3 linked regions of the Saccharomyces cerevisiae S288C genome follow. Changing the gene in region 1 together with any one later gene gives a genetic interaction. Each region holds a gene or a part of one and is shown in the gene's direction. Other genes may lie near its edges.

Evidence for each region. A genetic interaction does not mean that the proteins touch.
Region 2: mutations in PCA1 (region 1) and ABZ2 together harm fitness more than expected from each alone (negative genetic interaction), as found in Saccharomyces cerevisiae (one large-scale study listed by BioGRID).
Region 3: mutations in PCA1 (region 1) and FCY21 together harm fitness more than expected from each alone (negative genetic interaction), as found in Saccharomyces cerevisiae (one large-scale study listed by BioGRID).

The regions. Positions count from the first base shown.
Region 1 is NC_001134.8:789,749-799,287, forward strand, and holds PCA1 (cation-transporting P-type ATPase PCA1), read left to right. Parts: upstream 1-3,100; coding exon 3,101-6,751; downstream 6,752-9,539. Other genes in the region: SUL1 (sulfate permease), read left to right, coding at 1-2,066; PHO89 (Pho89p), read right to left, coding at 7,050-8,774.
Region 2 is NC_001145.3:845,735-852,719, forward strand, and holds ABZ2 (aminodeoxychorismate lyase ABZ2), read left to right. Parts: upstream 1-2,950; coding exon 2,951-4,075; downstream 4,076-6,985. Other genes in the region: U2 snRNP complex subunit HSH155, read left to right, coding at 1-2,752; ATP-dependent RNA helicase HAS1, read right to left, coding at 4,340-5,857; protein kinase TDA1, read left to right, coding at 6,896-6,985. UniProt on the Saccharomyces cerevisiae protein: Converts 4-amino-4-deoxychorismate into 4-aminobenzoate (PABA) and pyruvate.
Region 3 is NC_001137.3:271,210-279,063, forward strand, and holds FCY21 (purine-cytosine permease), read left to right. Parts: upstream 1-3,357; coding exon 3,358-4,944; downstream 4,945-7,854. Other genes in the region: PET117 (Pet117p), read left to right, coding at 559-882; PCL6 (Pcl6p), read left to right, coding at 1,415-2,677; FCY22 (purine-cytosine permease), read left to right, coding at 5,363-6,955; fatty acid synthase CEM1, read right to left, coding at 7,089-7,854. UniProt on the Saccharomyces cerevisiae protein: Probable purine-cytosine permease.

The DNA.
Region 1 (9,539 bases):
ATGTTTGTATTGGTCCGGTCGCTGTAATGTCACTACAAACTGCCAAAGTCATTGCTGAAGTTCTAAAAAAATATCCCGAAGACCAGACAGAAGTTACAGCTCCTATCATTGCAACTACCCTTTGTTTGCTTTGTGGGATTGTCGCCACTGGGTTGGGTATACTGCGTTTAGGCTTTTTAGTGGAACTTATTTCTCTAAATGCTGTTGCTGGCTTCATGACCGGTTCCGCATTTAACATCATCTGGGGTCAAATTCCGGCTCTCATGGGATACAACTCATTAGTGAATACCAGAGAAGCAACGTATAAGGTTGTAATTAACACTCTGAAACATTTACCAAACACAAAGTTAGACGCCGTTTTTGGCTTGATTCCGTTGGTAATCCTCTATGTATGGAAATGGTGGTGTGGTACATTTGGTATAACTTTGGCAGATAGATATTATCGAAATCAACCAAAGGTAGCAAATAGACTGAAATCCTTCTATTTCTATGCACAAGCTATGAGAAATGCCGTCGTCATAGTAGTTTTTACTGCCATATCGTGGAGCATAACAAGAAACAAATCTTCAAAAGACCGTCCAATCAGTATTCTGGGTACAGTTCCCTCGGGCTTAAATGAGGTGGGAGTTATGAAAATCCCAGACGGTCTGCTATCTAATATGAGTTCAGAAATACCTGCTTCAATTATCGTTCTGGTGTTAGAACACATCGCTATTTCAAAATCCTTTGGTAGAATTAACGACTACAAGGTTGTCCCTGACCAAGAACTTATTGCGATTGGTGTGACAAATTTGATAGGGACATTTTTTCACTCATATCCAGCAACTGGGTCATTTTCCAGATCTGCTTTGAAAGCAAAATGTAACGTGCGCACTCCGTTTTCTGGGGTATTCACTGGCGGTTGCGTTCTATTAGCACTTTATTGTTTAACTGACGCCTTCTTTTTCATTCCTAAAGCGACACTATCGGCGGTTATTATTCATGCTGTTTCTGATTTGCTGACTTCTTACAAAACCACCTGGACCTTCTGGAAGACCAACCCGTTAGATTGTATCTCATTTATCGTTACAGTGTTCATCACAGTATTTTCATCCATTGAAAATGGTATATATTTTGCAATGTGTTGGTCATGTGCAATGTTACTATTGAAACAGGCTTTCCCTGCTGGTAAATTCCTTGGTCGTGTTGAGGTGGCAGAAGTATTGAACCCAACAGTACAAGAGGATATTGATGCTGTGATATCATCTAATGAATTACCTAATGAACTGAATAAACAGGTTAAGTCTACTGTTGAGGTTTTACCAGCCCCAGAGTATAAGTTTAGCGTAAAGTGGGTTCCGTTCGATCATGGATACTCAAGAGAATTGAATATCAATACCACAGTTCGGCCTCCTCCACCAGGTGTCATAGTCTATCGTTTGGGTGATAGCTTTACTTACGTGAACTGCTCAAGGCATTATGACATTATATTTGATCGTATTAAGGAAGAAACAAGGCGAGGCCAACTTATAACCTTAAGGAAAAAGTCAGACCGTCCATGGAATGATCCTGGTGAATGGAAAATGCCAGATTCTTTGAAATCACTATTTAAATTTAAACGTCATTCAGCAACAACGAATAGTGACCTACCGATATCGAATGGAAGCAGTAACGGAGAAACATATGAAAAGCCGCTACTGAAAGTCGTCTGCCTGGATTTTTCCCAAGTTGCTCAAGTGGATTCAACCGCTGTTCAAAGCCTGGTTGATCTGAGAAAAGCTGTGAATAGGTATGCGGATAGACAAGTCGAATTCCATTTTGCCGGAATTATATCTCCATGGATCAAAAGAAGTCTTTTGAGTGTTAAATTCGGAACTACAAATGAGGAATATAGTGACGACTCTATTATCGCTGGCCATTCTAGTTTTCACGTTGCAAAAGTTTTGAAGGATGATGTGGATTATACTGATGAAGACAGCCGTATAAGCACATCTTACAGTAACTATGAAACATTATGTGCTGCAACTGGGACAAATTTACCGTTTTTTCATATCGATATACCCGATTTTTCTAAATGGGACGTTTAGTGTAGTAGATAGTAAGTACTTTAATTACCCCCCCTGTTTTTAGTTATACATGAAAAGATAATTGTGTTATTAATGTAGATTACCATCAAATAGCTGGAATATTTATTATTTTGAGTATGTTGAATGGCGAAAGTAAAAATAAATTTTATAATTTCCTGAAAGCATTAGTACACGAAAAGGGCCGTTTTCAGTAGTTTAAGGCGCTGAAAAGACATGGTCTAGAAGTTAACTTGAGCTTGAGCCTATTTTCTACAAATGTCCTTTGAAAATACAAAAATAAAAATAAAAATGCATTTAAGTATTAAGCTTATGCTAGATAGAGCAACATTTTCCTAATTTTTTTTGAATTTATTTCATGGTTTTTAGGCGGAAAGAGTTTGGACGGCTTGTCTCTCCTAATGTGGAAGAAATTATGTTTTGTTATGAATCTGAAAAGAAAAATACTATTTTAGCAATACAATGAATTTTAAAAAGTTACCCTGTACTTTAATCCTTCAATTAAAACACTTCTTAAAATAGTATATTTTGAAGATCATCGATATATATACAGAGGCAGTTTTGCAAGGCAGATAACGTTATTGAGTTGTATGTAGGCTGTGTGATTTTAATCTCATAAATCAATAATGGAATAATTTTCTTATTGTTAATATCGATTTATATTTTCCAACAATACAATGAAGTAAGTACTATTTCTATTTGGAAGGAATTCATTCCCCATTTTAGCTCCTCGAGCGGATGAATCCATCACTGTTTTGAAGAAAACCAACAAAGTGTCAAATAGTTGTCTTTTTGAAATTGGTTCTGAAGAGTTTTCGGAAAATGATCTGATAACAGGCCTTTCTAAAAATATAAGGTTGAACGAATGTATGGGTTAGGTAATCAAAATTTAGGCGCCAACAAGGAATTTTTCTTTAAAATCGCATGAAAAGCCTACACTTGGCATAAATAAGGTGCAATTATAAATATAAAAGCAAGATATTTTCGAGATGCTTCCAGGATTTATACAATGAAAGAGCCCAAAGCTGCTGATAACGATGAAGCCGGAAAAACTCTTCTCCGGTTTAGGTACCAGCGATGGCGAGTATGGAGTGGTAAATAGCGAGAACATATCAATAGATGCTATGCAAGATAATAGAGGCGAGTGTCATCGTAGATCCATAGAAATGCATGCTAATGACAATCTGGGATTGGTCTCCCAGCGAGACTGTACCAATCGGCCCAAAATTACTCCTCAGGAATGTTTGAGTGAGACTGAGCAGATATGCCATCATGGCGAGAATAGGACTAAGGCTGGGTTAGATGTAGACGATGCTGAAACCGGTGGTGATCACACCAATGAATCCCGTGTAGATGAATGTTGTGCTGAGAAAGTGAACGACACTGAGACTGGCTTGGATGTGGACAGCTGTTGCGGCGATGCTCAAACAGGTGGTGACCACACCAATGAATCCTGTGTTGATGGATGCTGCGTTAGAGATTCTTCAGTGATGGTCGAGGAAGTTACAGGCAGCTGCGAAGCTGTATCTTCTAAAGAACAATTGCTGACCAGCTTTGAAGTTGTTCCAAGCAAATCTGAAGGTCTGCAATCTATTCATGATATTAGAGAGACAACTCGCTGCAATACCAATTCCAACCAACACACAGGGAAGGGTAGGCTTTGCATCGAATCAAGTGACTCTACACTCAAGAAAAGAAGTTGTAAAGTTAGCAGACAGAAAATTGAGGTTTCCAGTAAGCCTGAGTGCTGCAACATTTCATGTGTTGAGCGGATTGCATCTCGTAGCTGTGAAAAGAGGACTTTTAAAGGTAGCACCAATGTTGGAATTTCTGGGAGTAGCTCTACCGACAGTTTAAGCGAGAAGTTCTTCAGCGAACAGTACTCTAGAATGTACAATCGTTACTCCTCAATTTTGAAAAATTTAGGTTGTATCTGTAACTATTTGCGTACTTTGGGAAAAGAATCTTGTTGTCTCCCAAAGGTGCGTTTTTGTAGCGGGGAGGGTGCTTCTAAAAAGACAAAATACTCCTACCGCAACAGTTCTGGATGTTTAACAAAGAAAAAGACCCATGGAGACAAAGAAAGGTTGAGCAATGACAATGGCCATGCTGATTTTGTTTGTTCTAAAAGTTGTTGCACTAAAATGAAGGATTGTGCTGTTACCTCAACTATTTCTGGACACTCTTCGAGTGAAATTTCAAGAATCGTATCAATGGAACCAATTGAAAATCATCTTAATCTTGAGGCAGGATCTACCGGTACCGAGCACATTGTTCTTAGTGTTTCAGGAATGTCCTGTACTGGTTGTGAATCAAAACTTAAGAAATCATTTGGCGCGCTCAAATGTGTTCACGGTTTGAAGACCAGTTTAATATTATCGCAAGCTGAATTTAATCTGGATCTTGCTCAGGGATCTGTCAAGGATGTTATCAAGCACTTGAGCAAAACTACTGAATTCAAGTACGAACAGATTTCAAATCATGGTTCAACTATAGATGTTGTTGTTCCTTATGCAGCAAAAGATTTTATTAATGAGGAATGGCCACAAGGTGTCACAGAGCTGAAAATTGTTGAGAGAAATATCATTCGTATTTACTTTGACCCAAAGGTTATAGGTGCCAGAGATCTTGTCAATGAAGGATGGAGCGTGCCTGTTAGTATTGCTCCATTCAGTTGTCATCCAACCATTGAAGTGGGAAGGAAGCATTTAGTTCGTGTAGGCTGCACGACCGCTTTATCCATAATATTGACGATCCCGATTCTCGTGATGGCTTGGGCTCCACAGCTTCGTGAAAAAATTTCCACTATCTCCGCGTCAATGGTGCTAGCAACTATTATTCAATTTGTTATTGCAGGACCGTTTTACTTAAATGCCTTGAAGAGTTTGATATTTTCCAGGCTCATTGAAATGGATCTACTAATAGTTTTAAGCACTAGCGCTGCCTACATATTTTCGATTGTATCATTTGGATATTTCGTTGTTGGACGCCCGTTATCTACGGAGCAGTTTTTTGAAACCAGCTCTTTGCTTGTAACTCTCATCATGGTTGGTCGCTTTGTGAGTGAACTAGCTAGACATAGGGCTGTAAAGTCAATATCAGTACGTTCCTTACAGGCCTCTTCTGCTATTCTGGTGGATAAAACTGGTAAAGAGACGGAAATTAATATTAGACTTCTCCAATATGGCGATATTTTTAAGGTTTTACCTGATTCAAGAATCCCAACTGATGGAACAGTCATTTCTGGGTCTTCTGAAGTCGACGAAGCGTTAATCACAGGTGAATCTATGCCAGTCCCGAAAAAGTGTCAATCAATTGTTGTTGCAGGATCGGTGAATGGCACTGGTACTTTGTTTGTGAAGCTGAGCAAGCTTCCAGGGAACAATACTATTAGTACCATAGCCACGATGGTTGATGAAGCAAAATTAACTAAGCCAAAGATCCAAAATATCGCTGATAAAATTGCAAGTTATTTCGTGCCAACTATCATTGGAATCACTGTCGTCACCTTTTGCGTTTGGATAGCGGTTGGAATCCGTGTGGAAAAGCAATCCCGCTCCGATGCCGTAATTCAGGCCATTATATATGCCATTACGGTACTTATCGTTTCGTGTCCCTGCGTGATTGGACTTGCCGTTCCTATCGTATTTGTTATTGCAAGTGGCGTCGCTGCGAAAAGAGGGGTAATCTTCAAATCAGCAGAGAGTATAGAAGTTGCTCACAACACTTCGCATGTTGTCTTCGATAAAACGGGTACCCTAACTGAAGGAAAACTTACTGTAGTACATGAAACTGTTAGGGGTGATCGTCATAATTCTCAATCTTTGTTGCTTGGATTAACTGAAGGAATAAAACACCCAGTTTCCATGGCAATAGCATCCTATCTCAAAGAAAAAGGTGTTTCTGCTCAAAATGTTTCTAATACAAAAGCTGTGACTGGTAAGCGGGTAGAAGGAACATCATACTCTGGTTTGAAGTTACAAGGAGGGAACTGTCGTTGGCTTGGTCATAACAATGATCCTGACGTTCGAAAAGCCCTTGAACAAGGATATTCTGTATTCTGTTTTAGTGTTAATGGTTCAGTCACTGCAGTTTATGCATTAGAGGACTCTTTACGGGCAGATGCTGTCTCCACTATTAACTTGTTACGCCAAAGAGGGATTTCACTACACATTTTATCAGGGGATGACGATGGAGCCGTTCGTTCTATGGCAGCCCGTCTTGGAATTGAAAGCTCCAATATTCGTTCTCACGCAACGCCTGCAGAAAAGAGTGAATATATTAAGGATATTGTCGAAGGAAGAAATTGCGATAGTTCTTCGCAGTCAAAAAGACCGGTTGTTGTTTTTTGCGGTGACGGAACAAACGACGCAATTGGTTTGACTCAAGCAACGATTGGAGTTCATATCAATGAGGGAAGTGAGGTTGCCAAGCTAGCTGCTGATGTAGTTATGTTAAAGCCAAAGCTCAACAATATTTTGACTATGATAACTGTAAGTCAAAAGGCCATGTTTAGGGTCAAATTGAATTTCTTATGGAGTTTTACTTACAACTTATTTGCTATCCTTTTGGCGGCTGGTGCCTTTGTTGACTTTCATATTCCACCAGAGTATGCGGGTTTAGGGGAACTAGTTAGTATCCTCCCTGTAATTTTTGTAGCTATACTTCTGCGTTATGCAAAGATTTAGTCCAGGTACTGCTGCTATTTGATTGTAGATTTTCTTTTTTCTTTTCTTTTTTTTTTTTGACGACTCTGTAATACTCTATTTATTATTTAGTTTAGTTTTCTATTTAATATGATGGAATTCATAAAAAAAAAAAATACACATAGCCATGCCAGGTAATTGCAGATCAACTGATAAATTAGAAAAAAATTAATGCATCTTTAAGGTTTTAAATTAGAAATGTTTTAACTTTAAAGTCACTGAGCAATAAAAGTTCTACCTAATGTTGTAAAACTGTATTCATAACCGAAACACATTATGATTATGTCATTTGGTATTCCACACCAAAGCGAGGAGCATTCAAAATGATACCATTTATGATACCGGCAATCAAACCAGCAATTGGTAAAGTTAAAAACCAACCAGAATAACACCAGGCTACCATTCTCCAATTAACTGATTTGAGATCCTTGTTACATAAACCAACAGCGACAATACCACCAACGGCGATCTGGGTTGTTGAGGTAGGAATACCTAATTGGGTAGCCATGACAGTAGTAATAGCAACAGCTAGTTCAATTGAAAAGCCTCTTGATGGCGACTGCAAAATCATCTTATTACCTAGATTTTTGATAATATTGTAACCATAAGTCCAGCAACCAATAACTAAGGCAACACCACCATAAGCCAGAACCCACACGGGAACTTCGGACTTTGCCCCAATAGTGTTAGTTTTCCAGATCACATACACAGCAGACAAAGGACCAGTAGCGTTGGCAACGTCATTAGCTCCATGAGCAAAAGACATAGTGGCTGCAGTAATGGCTTGGAGAACCGAATAGATATATTCTACTCTATTGTCGTAAAATTTAGATCTTTCGTACATTCCTTTCAGGTCACCAGATAACATATCTCTATCATTAACTTGAGCATGAATGACGTCTTGAGTCCAACCATGAGAGATTACTAACCAGAACAATAAGGGCCATTTTTTAGGTCCTTGCTTTAATAATGACCACCAATATTGTTTCGTTGACAACTTTGTTTCTGGTTCAGTTTCAGTTCTAACCAGGTCCACTTCCTGGATGTCTTCTTTGTTTTTGACGGAATCATTAGAATTACTCGCTGCCTTATTTTCTTCGTCTTCAACAGAAACAGTTGTTCCAAGATTTCTTCTGCCCTCGTAATAATCGATTGTTAATTGATGGCCTTCTGGCATTGGTGGGATATCATCAGTGGACTTAAAGTAAAAAGATGGACCTCTGAAAATATCAATCAACTTTAGTGTCCAATCTTGGTCCAAAACTTTTCTTCTGTAGAATGGGTAGAAAAAGATGAAGTAAACGATCGAAGCAATTGCACCTGTGAGAACAATAGATACGGCAGTTTCAGTTTCAGATAAATCGTCCAAGTGTAGGTTTGGAGAACCCTTCCAGACAATCAACATTGTTAAGATAGAGAAAGTGGCGAATACTAAAACACCAACCAGCAGTAAAGCATTCTTAATCGATCTTTCCAAAGACTTAACTTCAAGGACAGAAAACCTAGAAATTGAAAAAACTATAGCTGCGATCGCGCCTGCCAAAATCGGAGCAATGAACCATGACGCAATAATTTGAGAAACACCACTCCAACCCCAAACGACACCGTTAGCTCCACCGGCTGCAATCCCAGCGCCAATTGTACCACCAACAATGGAATGTGTAGTAGAAACTGGCATTCCGATTGCAGTAGCAAATGTTAACCAACAAGACGAGCCAATCAAAGCACTGGTCATAGTAAGCATTAAAACAGCGGGGTCGTTGGTAAAAATGGAGGAATCTATAATGTTGTTCTTGATAGTACCAGAAACTCTTGCGCCTGCCAAGACAGCACCCAAGAACTCACAGAGACCCGCCAAAACCATGGCTTGCCAGTATTTTAGAGATCTAGAAGAGATCGACGACGCGAATGAGTTCGCCACGTCGTTTGCCCCGATGTTAAAGGCATCCAAAAATGCAAATAACATGGCAATGGCAAAAATATAGTCAAATTGATGTAAAGCCATTTTTGCTTAATCTTTGTTTATATTGATTCGATTAGATACGCTCCAGTATTCTCACCTTTGATCTATGTCACTCATTCTATGACAATTCATGTAAAATAACCTCAATGTAAAGATCATCTTCAGCAGGTTTATATATAATTTTCTTCATATCGAAAACCGGGCTTAGTGACATGAATTGTTTGGAGATGTCCACCCAGTAGACATTGTAAAAAAAATCTGCTATTGACTGAGTTAATCTAATGATTTACATAATAGAAGGATCCAAAGTGGCTGTGACATCTAGTATTGATAGATTAGTATTATTACTATTTGTCTCCCACGTGCTGCATTGTCATATGCAATTTATTAAGATTACATAAACTCCTTTGTACGGTATATTCTTAAAGCCTTTCAATGACTCGGGCCAATTTTTAGCAATATTTCGACATTTAAGGGCCCACTAACAAATTAATGGCACAACGTGGGGATGACGAAAAAGCAGAAAAAGAAAAAAAAGGTCTATCGCACAGCCACACACCCTTGTGGTGAAGCCGTTTTGTGATCGGTGTGGCGCGATCTGTGAAATTTAAACTTTTTTGCGGGTGAAACCGAGATTTCTGAAACTAGATTTTCTGGCTTCGCCAAAGAAAGATGCATCGAATTAATGAAATTAAACGGATGTAAGGAATGAAATTATAACGATTCCGCTAATGTTCTTTACTGACGAGTGTCACTGAAGTACTTACTCGTGAACAAAAATTAACCTATATCAGTAATTTTGATATT
Region 2 (6,985 bases), on another chromosome or scaffold:
GACAGTGCAAAATCGAGAGGATTCATACCACAAAAGAAGGTTTGATATGAAGTTTGAGCCGGATTCCGATACACAAACTGTTACGTCTTCAGAAAATACCCAAGACGCTGTCGTGCCAAGGAAAAGAAAATCTCGTTGGGATGTAAAAGGGTACGAGCCACCTGATGAATCTTCAACAGCGGTCAAAGAAAACTCTGATAGTGCTTTGGTTAATGTAGAAGGAATCCATGATTTGATGTTTTTTAAACCTTCTGACCATAAATATTTCGCCGACGTTATATCCAAAAAACCCATAGATGAGTTAAATAAGGATGAAAAGAAAGAAAGAACCCTGTCGATGTTACTTCTGAAAATAAAAAATGGCAATACAGCGAGTAGGAGGACTTCTATGCGGATTTTAACCGATAAAGCTGTTACATTTGGTCCAGAAATGATATTTAACCGCTTATTGCCCATATTACTAGACAGAAGTTTGGAAGACCAGGAAAGACATCTAATGATCAAGACCATAGATCGCGTCCTTTACCAGCTAGGAGATTTAACAAAACCTTACGTTCACAAAATACTTGTAGTAGCTGCCCCATTGCTAATAGATGAAGATCCAATGGTTCGTTCAACAGGCCAGGAGATAATCACCAATCTGTCTACAGTCGCTGGCCTAAAAACCATTCTAACAGTAATGAGACCTGATATTGAGAATGAGGATGAGTATGTTAGAAATGTAACTTCAAGAGCGGCGGCTGTGGTGGCAAAAGCCCTTGGTGTTAATCAATTGCTTCCTTTCATCAATGCAGCATGCCACTCACGGAAGTCTTGGAAAGCAAGGCATACTGGCATAAAAATTGTGCAGCAAATAGGTATACTTTTGGGAATAGGTGTCTTGAATCATCTTACTGGGCTGATGAGTTGTATCAAAGACTGCCTAATGGATGATCACGTTCCGGTGCGAATTGTTACAGCACATACTTTATCAACACTAGCAGAAAATTCTTATCCATATGGTATCGAAGTTTTCAACGTTGTACTGGAGCCATTATGGAAGGGTATAAGAAGTCATCGTGGTAAAGTGCTATCTTCTTTTTTAAAAGCTGTTGGATCTATGATCCCATTGATGGACCCAGAGTATGCCGGTTATTATACCACAGAAGCAATGAGAATAATTAGACGTGAATTCGACTCTCCCGATGATGAAATGAAAAAGACCATTCTTTTAGTATTACAAAAATGTAGCGCTGTAGAATCCATAACGCCAAAATTTCTGAGAGAAGAAATCGCGCCAGAATTCTTTCAAAAATTTTGGGTCAGACGAGTGGCATTGGATAGACCATTAAACAAAGTTGTTACATATACTACTGTTACATTAGCAAAGAAATTAGGTTGTTCTTATACCATTGATAAATTATTAACACCATTGAGAGATGAAGCTGAGCCGTTCAGAACAATGGCTGTCCATGCTGTTACTAGAACAGTAAACTTATTAGGGACAGCAGATTTAGATGAGAGATTAGAAACGAGGCTTATTGATGCGCTCTTGATAGCATTTCAAGAACAAACAAATAGTGATTCTATAATCTTTAAAGGGTTTGGGGCAGTGACGGTGTCACTTGACATCCGTATGAAACCGTTTTTAGCACCCATTGTGAGTACGATTTTAAATCATTTAAAGCATAAAACTCCCTTGGTTCGTCAACATGCAGCAGATCTATGTGCCATACTAATACCAGTCATCAAGAACTGTCACGAATTCGAAATGTTGAATAAATTGAACATTATATTGTATGAATCCTTAGGCGAAGTATATCCAGAGGTATTAGGTTCTATAATCAACGCTATGTACTGTATTACTAGCGTAATGGATTTGGATAAACTACAACCTCCTATTAATCAAATTTTACCAACCTTAACTCCAATTTTAAGAAACAAGCATAGAAAAGTCGAAGTAAACACTATCAAATTTGTTGGACTTATTGGTAAATTAGCACCTACCTATGCACCTCCTAAAGAATGGATGAGAATATGTTTTGAACTATTAGAACTTTTGAAAAGTACAAATAAAGAAATAAGAAGATCAGCAAATGCCACGTTTGGATTCATTGCTGAAGCAATTGGACCTCACGATGTTCTTGTTGCGTTATTGAACAATTTAAAGGTTCAAGAACGTCAGTTACGTGTATGCACGGCTGTTGCTATCGGTATCGTTGCTAAAGTGTGTGGTCCTTACAACGTGCTGCCAGTAATCATGAATGAATACACAACACCAGAGACTAATGTTCAAAACGGTGTTCTCAAGGCCATGTCATTCATGTTTGAGTACATTGGTAACATGTCTAAGGATTACATATACTTCATAACACCATTATTAGAAGATGCACTCACCGATAGGGATTTAGTTCATCGTCAGACAGCGTCGAACGTAATAACCCACTTAGCTTTAAACTGTTCAGGTACAGGTCACGAAGATGCCTTCATTCATTTAATGAATCTTCTAATACCCAATATTTTTGAAACTTCACCACATGCTATTATGCGTATTTTAGAAGGTTTGGAGGCACTGAGTCAAGCTCTTGGCCCTGGACTATTCATGAACTACATATGGGCAGGATTGTTCCATCCAGCGAAGAATGTAAGGAAAGCATTTTGGAGGGTGTATAATAACATGTACGTAATGTACCAGGACGCCATGGTACCTTTTTACCCCGTTACACCAGACAACAATGAAGAATATATAGAAGAACTGGATTTAGTTCTGTGAATATATATAGAGCATATAAATAACCACAACTTGTAAGAATATTTTACTTGACACACCTATATCATCACGTCACGATGCCTTCATAGATTATGATGAAATATAAACAGAACCTGCTATTGGAAAAAAAAGGGCAGGAAAAAATTTTGTGAAAGTGAGTAAAAGAAAGATGAAGAGCGAGACATGGATAATAAGAAATAGATGTCACTAATGGACAATTGGAAGACTGATATGGAAAGTTACGATGAAGGAGGCCTAGTTGCTAATCCGAACTTCGAGGTTCTGGCCACTTTCAGGTACGACCCTGGTTTTGCACGCCAGTCAGCGTCAAAGAAAGAGATCTTTGAAACTCCAGACCCTCGATTAGGTTTGAGAGACGAAGATATTAGGCAGCAGATAATTAATGAGGATTACTCAAGTTATTTACGAGTAAGGGAGGTTAATTCCGGCGGTGACCTTCTCGAAAATATTCAGCATCCTGATGCTTGGAAGCATGATTGCAAGACCATTGTGTGCCAGCGTGTAGAAGATATGCTACAAGTCATTTATGAACGATTTTTTTTATTAGATGAACAATACCAAAGAATAAGAATAGCATTATCATACTTTAAAATTGACTTCAGCACGTCTCTGAATGATTTATTGAAGTTATTGGTTGAAAACTTGATTAATTGTAAAGAAGGAAATTCAGAGTATCACGAAAAAATTCAAAAAATGATCAACGAAAGGCAATGCTATAAAATGCGGGTACTTGTCTCTAAGACAGGAGATATACGAATTGAGGCAATTCCAATGCCTATGGAGCCTATCCTAAAATTAACAACCGATTATGACAGTGTTTCCACATACTTCATCAAAACGATGCTCAATGGATTTTTAATTGATAGCACAATAAATTGGGATGTTGTTGTTTCATCTGAACCATTGAACGCATCAGCTTTCACCAGTTTTAAAACCACTTCAAGAGATCATTACGCTAGGGCGAGAGTTCGCATGCAAACTGCTATAAATAACTTAAGAGGTTCAGAACCTACTTCTTCTGTCTCGCAATGCGAAATTTTATTTTCCAACAAATCTGGCCTGCTGATGGAAGGTTCAATAACAAACGTGGCTGTAATTCAAAAAGATCCTAACGGTTCTAAAAAGTATGTGACACCAAGATTAGCAACTGGATGTTTGTGCGGAACAATGCGTCATTATTTATTGCGGCTCGGCCTTATTGAAGAGGGAGATATAGATATAGGAAGCCTTACCGTTGGCAACGAAGTTTTGCTTTTCAATGGCGTCATGGGATGCATAAAGGGAACAGTGAAGACAAAATATTGAGCAGACGACAGATTTTCATATCAATGAAGTTTTTTTACAATAGTTTACAAATCATGATTTTACATACTCAAATATGTGCAGGTTGATACAGACAACGTACGTAGAAGACAACAAACAGAAAACAGCGGTTTATACATTTATTTAAATGACATACAGTGGAGAAGCAGAGAAAGGAAAAGGAGTGCGATGAGAACAGAAGATGAATACTTCGGTTGTGTTGGTTCCACGTACACATTAATAGCATTAAAAATTGATCCTCTGAAATTACTTATGAGTTTTACGTCTTTTGGTATTTGGCGTTTTTCCACTGGCACCAATTGTAATGTTAACCTTTGGAGGGACTGGAAAACCGTAAGACTTTGCTACTTTGGCTAAATCCAGCTTATCGATTTGATAGACAGTTTTCAAAGAGTGGGAAGCGTACGCTTGTAAATAAGATCTATAACCATCCTTGGCTGTTTGATGTAGATAATAGTTGGATTTAATTAATTTTTCTAATTGTGATTGAACGTTTGCAATTTTGTTTTCCGGGAATTCGTACTCATTTAATGGGACCTTGGAAGCCTTTAGATATCTTAAAAACCCTAATTCATTAGGTGTTAAAAACATTAAAGATTTACCCTTACCTTTAGTGCCTCTTGCGGTTCTTCCGACTCTATGAATATAATCTCTTGGATCATCAGGAGGGTCGAATTGAATGATCCAGTCCACAGCAGGGATATCTAGCCCTCTAGCTGCGACATCTGTACAAATCAAGATACCTCTTTCCGCATTACAGAATTCGAAAAATGTATTTGTTCTCTTTTGTTGTTTTTGCTTACCGTGTAATTCGAGGACTGGCAAATCAATATAGTTCAATAATTCAGCGTAATATTTCACAGAGTTACAAGATGATAAAAATACAATAATTTTCTTTTTTTGATTTCTTTTCAAGAAAGAAAATAACAACAAAAATCTCTTATCACTGTCACATACCACATAGCCTTGTTCTAATCCATCTGCGGTGGAGTTGTCGGTTTCAGGAACGACATTAATGAAAAGAGGGCCCGGTCTCAGCGAGATTCTAGCCAAATCCTCAACTTTGGTCGTTTGTGTAGCTGAAAATAACATGGATTGCCTATCTTCGTTTGGCAAGATCTTAATTATCTGCCTCATTTCATCTTCAAACCCAATTTCTAAGATTCTGTCCGCTTCATCGATAATCAAAGCCTTCAAGTTCTTGAATACAAATCCTTTTGTATTTTGTAAGTGATCCAATAATCTTCCAGGGGTAGCAATCAACATGTTAACACCTTTCATCAATTTTTCGGCTTCCTGTCTTCTATTTGCACCACCAATGACAATACCAAATGTCTGTGAATGGAATTCCATTAACTCTCTTGCCACTCCAAAAATCTGTAAAGCCAACTCTCTTGTAGGCGTAATGACAATTATACCGGTACCATTTCTTGGTTTGAATTTCAAAGAATGCAATAGTTCAATAGCAGGGATGAGAAACGCTAGAGTTTTACCAGAACCTGTCTTGGCAGCACCAAGAACATCCCTACCGGCCAAAAGAGGTGGGATAGTCCTTGCCTGAACAGAAGTCATAGTGGTAAATCCCATCTTTTCAATGGCCTTTAAAGTTGGCTGTGATAACTTTAGTTCTTCGAACTTTTCCACACAAGTAGTTTGTTCTCCCTCAGGTGCGGCATTGTTTTGTTTTGAAGTGCTCTTTTCATCTACTACAGGTTCTTCTGTAGATTCAGAATCTCTAGAACGTTTATTTGACGGGGTAGCCATACTTCTCCTGTTAATATTGCTCAGCTTATCTAATTATTATAGTATACAGTTATCCAATAGCTATGTACTCAAGTACCGTGTATACACTATAAAATCTCATCTCATCGCTAAAGCTAATATTGAAAAAAAAAAAAAAAAAAAAAAGAAAAAGCAAATAAAAAATTTTCAATTCGGGTAACGAAGAATCGACTCTCGCCGGGTAAACAATTCTTAGTCGTCATACACTCCTCTTTACGTTAAGAAAATAGAAGTAGCAGCGCTTTGTAAAGCATTAAAGCGTCATGGATTGCAAAATACACATAATATATCACTTGTGATAGTGAGAAATGGAATGAAGTGGTTTAAGATGCTCTTTTACCAATAAACATATTGCGCCTATCAAATCATTTTCCACCCCTGTTAACTGATACAGATATAGCCTTACATATAACTTTTGCACTCCCTAAAATTACCATGGCTGTTCACCGCCTGCTATCATCCATGTTTTTACATACATCTATTAGGTTTGCCATCTTAGCCGCCGAAGCTATCGTTGCCGGTACAGGCGCTCCTTGAATAACCCCCTCCCCCCCACGCTATTCTTCAAATTCCGATTTCAGCTTCTCTTTGTTTTTCCTTTTTTGGCACCTCGGAAAAACCTCCACGTGTTAGGTTATTCCGCCGATTCCACGGGTGGGGTGCTACCAAGACTCCTGAAAAAGAAACTGTATGACGAAAAGAAAAAAAAAAAGCTGCTTGAATTCCAACACCGCTTTCTTGTTCTGACAATAGAAAGGGGGATTCCTAAAAAAAGAAAAAGAGGGCGGGGTTTATCATGTACTCAGAATATGAAAACGTGTCGAACGGGGATGACTTCTTCTGCTTCTTTACTTCTTTCTATTTAGAGTGACAGTTTTTTTATTTGTTTTGCTAACTTGTTTATTTATTAATTTCTTGTTTGCTCCTTCAGTTACCTACCACGACTGTCTCAGCCAAACCGCGATATTTTCATACAATTGACATTACAACAGTTCAAAAAGAAAAATACACATCCAGGATATGACTACAGCTAGTTCTTCTGCTTCCCAGCTACAACAGCGCCTGCCGGAAGAAAAACCTTGGCCGCAACTGAGTGGCAGCAATGCAGAC
Region 3 (7,854 bases), on another chromosome or scaffold:
ATGTATCCGTTTGATAATGAAGTAAATTAGTATTTCTTTTGTAGGTCAGCAGCTCGCGCTATGGAGAAAGGAGTTATAATGAAACCACGTGAGCACGATGAAATAGCAATATGTTACTATTGATTACCGGATTAGAATGGTTAAAATGGTGAAATAAGAAGAATGATTATTGTGTGCTCAGTATCGGTTGAAACCACTAGTTTTGGCGCTTGACTCCACTCGTGAGTCATGTTTGGACTATATATGTGCCTTGAATATATATAAATATATATATTGCTATATGATCCCGCTGTTTCCAAGAGTAGTAATTACTAGACGGCTGTTGGCATATGTCAATGAGAGATTAGTGTACTCTTCGTACCATCAATCCGCCCATAATCTTCTAAGTGATCTTCCGATCGTATCCATCGAACTTTACTAAAGGCTCTTTTCGGGGTTACCCCTAAATTTTCAGTATTTGATTTGTATTAATGTTTAGCATTCAGGTAGTCGTAGTAAACGGACACATTTGACATTCAACGACGGTACACACGGTAGGAGACGTCAATTTCGGCTGAGATGAGTAGGGCTAGCAAGATAACGTTTGCAGCTTCCTGTCTGATAACGGCAGCGACGGTAGTGGGCGTGCATTATGTGCAAGAAATGGAAAGGGAAACTTTGCATCAGGGTCCGATAAAAGATGCTAAACGAGTCGAAGAAAAGAGGTTGAGAAAGACAAACGGAGTTGCATCATTAGATCCCACAAAAGAAAGGAAAAGGTACTTCAATATGAGTGAACACGAGGAACAAAAAGAGTTGCGAAAGAAGTATGAGACCATGCAACCGCTTAGTGGAGAAGTTGTGACCAAAGATGGAGAGGTGGTTAAAGAATCTAAGAAATAAACACCTGTCGGCAGTAGTTTACCTCTCTATTATAGACTACTCTTGTTTGTATATATGTAAGAATCGTGTAATTATTTTCAAGAAGCCTTCAAATTGAAGGAATAATCTAAAACTCGAATAATATCAATGTTAATCAATAACTATAATCAAGACCTTAATGTGCCTGCTTGCCCCTTTGGGGATTTTACCTCTATTTTGAAATTCCATTCAATCAATCTCTCGACGATCTCTAAGGTAAGATCTCGCCTTGATGTGGCTCTTTTTCTTCCGCCCTTGCGGAAAAAATCTGAATGAACGTAATTTACCTAAGAGATAACAAGGCTAACCTTGATAGAACCTTAAAAAACAGTATTGGTAATTGCAATAGCACCAACCGTAAGTGAGCTAAACTAGTGAAAGATTTTCTAAATCATAACGCGCGGAATTCCAGTTAATATATTACGTAGTCATCCCTCATCATAGAACTGTTTTTTTTTTTTGCAAAGTATTGAACCAGTTATTAGTTAAGTTAATTGTAGCAAATAGCGCCGGTATGTCTATCAAAGGTGATTCCCCCTCATCAACAAATGCCAGTAGTAGTCCGAAGTCTACATATTCAATACAATCGGATGATAAAGCAAACCTTGGCAGTGGTAACGTCGATATACGTACAGATAATTCACAACAGGACAGTAATAATAGACGCGATATTGTGGTAGTGACGAGGGTAGCTTCTGAAGAGACTTTAGAATCACAATCATCTACTTCATCAATGGGAATTAGACCAGAATCATCTTTTAACTATGAGGATGCTTCTAACCAAGCTAGGGTCGAAATGAATAACAGGGTACATGGCTCAAATATGAACACAATTAACAAATATTATCCAGTACGATTCCCAAAGAATAACGAAAGGCAATTGAGCGACACAAATAATTTAAATGAGAAAGTGCAAGGCACACATACAGTTCAATCATCCACCCAGGAAGACAAAATACTCGACGGTGACACAAGCAACTCACAAGTAACCCCGTCTTTGAACATTGCAGAGTTTCCCACAGACAAGCTTCTTAAAATGCTGACAGCGTTACTAACTAAAATTATTAAGTCAAATGATAGGACGGCAGCGACAAATCCTAGTTTGACACAAGAGATTGAGAATGGTAGGTGTCTTGCTTTAAGTGACAATGAAAAGAAATACTTAAGCCCCGTTCTGGGGTTTAGAGGGAAGCACGTACCACAAATTGGTCTTGACCAATATTTCCAGAGGATCCAGAAATATTGCCCCACAACGAATGATGTATTTTTATCGCTCCTCGTGTACTTTGATAGAATATCCAAGAGATGCAATAGTGTCACTACGACCCCTAAAACTAATACTGCAAAACATGAATCTCCCTCAAATGAAAGCTCTCTAGATAAAGCTAACAGGGGCGCTGACAAAATGTCCGCATGTAACAGTAACGAAAATAATGAAAATGACGATTCAGATGATGAAAATACAGGAGTTCAAAGGGATTCAAGGGCTCATCCTCAAATGTTCGTAATGGATTCACATAATATTCACAGATTAATCATAGCAGGTATTACTGTCAGTACGAAGTTTCTGAGCGATTTCTTCTATAGCAATTCAAGATACTCAAGGGTAGGTGGGATATCTTTACAAGAACTCAACCATTTGGAACTGCAGTTTCTAGTTTTGTGTGATTTTGAACTTTTGATATCAGTCAATGAATTGCAGAGATACGCGGACTTACTATACAGGTTTTGGAACAACGCAAAAGCTCAATCGCAAGCACTAGTTACGGGCATGTAGAAATGCGTAATATGCAAGTAGATATATTTACATACACAGTTTCTCTCAAAGGTAGTAATTATCTTATGTGTTAACGTACGGTTGCTAAGAAATAAGCATGGTAACTTTCTTAGGTAATTCTTTGGTATTAAGATATATTCTGAATTACGGTTTGGACTACTTTATTGTTCAGAGATAAGAAACATGTTGAGCAGCACTTTATGGTGTTGCTATATTCCCGTTCAAATACAACAGCAACAAAAAATGCTTATCCCTCATCAAATTGAACAGAAAAAAAAAAACCATATTATTTTATTCAAGCTTATCGCATGATAGACTGTATATGGAGCAGTCAAAATTGACTGCTAACTGAGTTTTCATTTTGGAAATCTTATCATTTTGCGTTCACCGATTCTAACTTATTTTCATCACGAATACGAGAAGGGCAAAGGTGCCGGCGTCATTATGTGACGGAAAGAAAAATTCGATAAGGCCTTTTTTTTTTCACTCATCGTATTGCCAAGCAATTTTAGTCAGAAGTAACACGTATATATATAAGGGCGTAGACGTCCCTCTTAACAGATACTCTGTAGTCCGTGCTAACGTAAACACAGCATTAAAAGTGCTTGTTACTTCACTATTATTAGCATTGAGGCGCGTGTGCTCGGAAAACCTACCATATTATAAAAGGGCTAACAAATATGCCTCAAACGCACGAAATGTCCCTGAACGGCACTCAATACTTAAAATATGAACTTAAAGACCTTGAGTCTCGAGCTCACGATGCAAAGACTCCTTCAACAAATGAATTCTATGATGATGTAGAATCGCACGGAACAGAAGAATTAGTTGAAGCTAAACTGTCGTTTTTGAACAGAATTGCTGCTGGTTTAAGTGCCGAGACAAAGGGTATTGAACCGATTACAGAAGATGAAAAAACTGATGATTCTATACTGAACGCTGCATCTATGTGGTTTTCAGCAAATATGGTTCTGCCTGCTTATGCCATTGGCGCCCTAGGGCCTATGGTGTTTGATCTAAATTTCGGCCAAAGCGTTTTCGTTATTATTTTCTTTAACCTCTTAGGCTTGGTATCAGTTGCTTTCTTTTCTGTTTTCGGTGCAGAGCTGGGCCTAAGACAGATGATTTTGTCTAGATATTTAGTTGGCAATATCGCAGCCAGGATCTTCTCTTTCATCAATTTTATTGCCTGTATCGGTTGGGGTATCGTTAATACCGTAGCAAGCTCGCAAGTCCTGAATATGGTTAACCCCGGTCATCAATGTCCTCTCTGGGCTGGTTGTATAGTTATTATCGGTGCTACTGTAATTGTAACTTTTTTCGGCTATGGAGTCATTCATGCTTACGAGAAATGGGCGTGGGTACCAAATTTTGCCGTTTTTTTGGTAATAATTGCTCGTTTGGCAAGGTCTAAAAAATTTGTCCTTGGGGAGTGGACATCTGGTCCTACTACAGCAGGTAACGTGCTTTCATTTGGATCAACAGTTTATGGGTTTGCTGCAGGCTGGACAACATATGCGGCTGACTATACCGTTTATATGCCAAGGAAAACGAACAAGTATAAAATTTTTTTCTCGCTTGTAGTTGGGTTAGCAACACCATTATATTTTACTATGATACTTGGTGCAGCTGTAGCAATGGCAGCTATCGGCGATCCAGCCTGGAAGACGTATTATGACGAAAATTCCATAGGTGGTTTAACTTTTGCCGTTCTTGTCCCTAATTCTGTTCACGGATTCGGTCAGTTCTGTTGCGTGTTATTGTCTCTGTCCACTATCGCTAATAATGTTCCCAACATGTATACTATTGCTTTATCGGTGCAAGCCACGTGGGAACCTCTTGCGAAAGTCCCAAGAGTTATTTGGACTTTATTAGGCAATGCGGCCGCACTGGGTATTGCCATTCCTGCCTGCTACTATTTTTCTACCTTCATGAATTACTTCATGGATTCCATAGGTTATTATTTGGCTATTTATATTGCCATTGCATGTTCAGAGCATTTTATTTATAGGCGTTCCTTCAGTGCTTACAATGTTGATGATTGGGATAGTTGGGAACGTCTACCTATCGGCATTGCAGGTACTGCTGCCTTAATTGTTGGTGCCTTTGGCGTAGCGTTGGGTATGTGCCAAACTTATTGGGTTGGCGAGATCAGCCGTTTGATCGGAGACTACGGTGGTGATATTGGATTCGAGTTAGGACTAAGTTGGGCATTTATAGTTTACAACATTGCTAGACCCTTTGAGCTCAAGTACTTTGGTCGTTAACGAAAGTTCATTTAAATGTTTCGCTATTTTAGTCTTTGTAATGTAACATAAATGGCTCTAGTATGCAAATCATTAAAAAATAGCATGTATGTTAATTAAATTATCACGGCTCATTCATTTGAGTTGATAACGCAATTCTGATAAGCATATCACGTGACTGTGGTTCTAAGAGTTACTCCGATCGCCAGTAAATACTTTATGAGACGTTGCATTATTTCTGTTTAGTTGATAAATTTTGATTTCTAGTCTGTTGAAAGCCTAATGCATGCAGATGACATAAATGTAGTCTGTTTTTGCACTGGTGATTTGTAAACCAGACAAATATATAACATGATAACCAAATTGTTTGTTATAAGATACGCTTGTCAGATTGAAATGGAGGGTGTTTCAGAAGGTGACTAAAATATCGAAGAAAAGTATGCCAGAAAAGTTAGCCATGTCAATGGTCGATATAAAAGATGCGGGGAGTGAACTAAGGGACCTCGAATCTGGAGCTCTGGACACAAAATCTTCCGCCGCTGATGTATACTATGAGGGTGTAGAATTGCATAGAACCAACGAATTCATTGATAATAAGCCGTCCTTTTTCAATAGGATTGCAGCTGCTTTAAATGCTGAGACGAAAGGTATTGAACCAGTTACAGAAGATGAAAAAAATGATGACTCGATACTCAATGCCGCCACTATATGGTTTTCAGCTAATATGGTGATTGTAGCCTATTCCGTAGGTGCCTTGGGTCCTCTAGTATTTGGCCTAAATTTCGGCCAAAGTGTTTTAGTTATCATTTTTTTCAATATTTTGGGTTTGATCCCTGTTGCATTATTCTCACTTTTTGGGGTAGAACTGGGCCTAAGACAGATGATTCTATCGAGATATTTGGCTGGTAACATCACAGCAAGATTTTTCTCTCTTGTTAATGTCATTGCTTGTGTCGGTTGGTGTGTTTTAAATATTTCTGTTTCTGCTCAACTTTTGAATATGGTGAATGAAGGCTCTGGGCACAACTGTCCTATTTGGGCAGGTTGTTTGATTATTGCTGGTGGTACCGTGCTTGTGACTTTTTTTGGTTACAGTGTCGTTCATGCATACGAAAAATGGTCGTGGGTACCCAATTTTGCTGCCTTTTTGGTCATTATTGCCCAACTATCGAGATCAGGAAAATTTAAAGGTGGTGAATGGGTAGGGGGTGCAACTACTGCAGGTGGTGTTCTTTCTTTTGGTTCATCTGTTTTTGGGTCAGCTGCGGGTTGGGCGACTTATGCAGCAGATTACACTGTTTATATGCCAAAGACCACAAGTAAATACAAAATTTTTTTTTCCGTAGTAGCCGGTCTAGCGTTCCCTCTATTTTTCACCATGATTCTTGGTGCTGCTTGCGGTATGGCGGCCCTTAATGACCCAACCTGGAAGTCATATTATGATAAAAACGCCATGGGTGGTGTCATATATGCTATCCTGGTCCCTAACTCTCTAAACGGATTCGGTCAATTCTGCTGTGTTTTGTTGGCTCTTTCAACTGTTGCTAATAATGTCCCTGGAATGTACACTGTCGCTTTATCCGCTCAAGCTTTGTGGGCACCTTTGGCTAAAATACCAAGAGTAGTCTGGACAATGGCAGGTAATGCTGCCACTTTAGGTATTTCCATCCCTGCTACCTATTACTTTGACGGCTTTATGGAGAATTTTATGGATTCCATTGGTTATTATTTGGCTATTTATATTGCCATTGCATGTTCAGAGCATTTTATTTATAGGCGTTCCTTCAGTGCTTACAATATTGATGATTGGGATAATTGGGAGCATCTACCTATCGGTATCGCAGGTACTGCTGCCTTAATTGCTGGTGCCTTTGGAGTAGCGTTGGGTATGTGCCAAACTTATTGGGTTGGTGAGATCAGTCGTTTGATCGGAGAGTACGGCGGTGACATTGGGTTCGAGTTAGGCGGAAGTTGGGCGTTCATCATCTATAACATTGTAAGACCTTTAGAACTCAAATATTTCGGTCGATGACTAAATGTTAATTGATTAATATTTTTGCTAATCATTGAAATGATTGGTTTTAATGGATAAATCTCGACATTCGAATAGATAGCATATAATTCAAAAACGATTATAATGGGATATATATATAAGTTTAATAATATTAACTCCCTTCCCATTTCTTGAAGAGAAGAGATGTGTTAACTCCTCCAAATCCGAAGCTGTTGCATAATGCGTACTTCGGATTAGCTCCCACAATAGGTTTGTCTCTTATGAAATGTAGCTTATCGGCCTCGTTATTTTCTAGAGTCAGAACATTGTCCAGGTTTAAGGTATGCGGCATCTTATCATCCTTCAAGGAACAAATTGTAAATATACTTTCTACGGCGCCAGCTGCACCTAAAAGATGGCCAATTGCACCTTTGTTACTGGATATGTACAGTGGCTTGCTTTTGGATCTTCCTGGTAAGAGTGCTGAGGCTACTGCCAGACACTCTGCTTTATCGCCTAGTAAAGTTGATGTAGCATGTGCATTGACGTAGTCAACATCAGTTGGTTCTAATCTAGCCATTTTTAGAGCCATCTCTATTGCTCTTTTGGCACCATTTCCATCAGCAGGAGGGGAGGTAATATGGCAGGCATCACTGCTTAAACCATAGCCCACGAGCTCAGAAATTATGTTTGCATTTCTCTTTTGAGCATGTTCTAGCGATTCCATGACAATCATTCCGCATCCTTCACCAAGTACGAATCCAGAACGTTGTGTATCAAAGGGTCTAGAGATCCCGTTTGTAGTAATCGACTTTGCTCTGATGAAACCTGCTAAACTTAACGGATGCAAACTCGTTTCACTTGCACCGGCGACACAGATGTCTTGCATGCCTAACCGAATAAAATTGAATGCATCGCCAATGGAGTTATTACCTGTT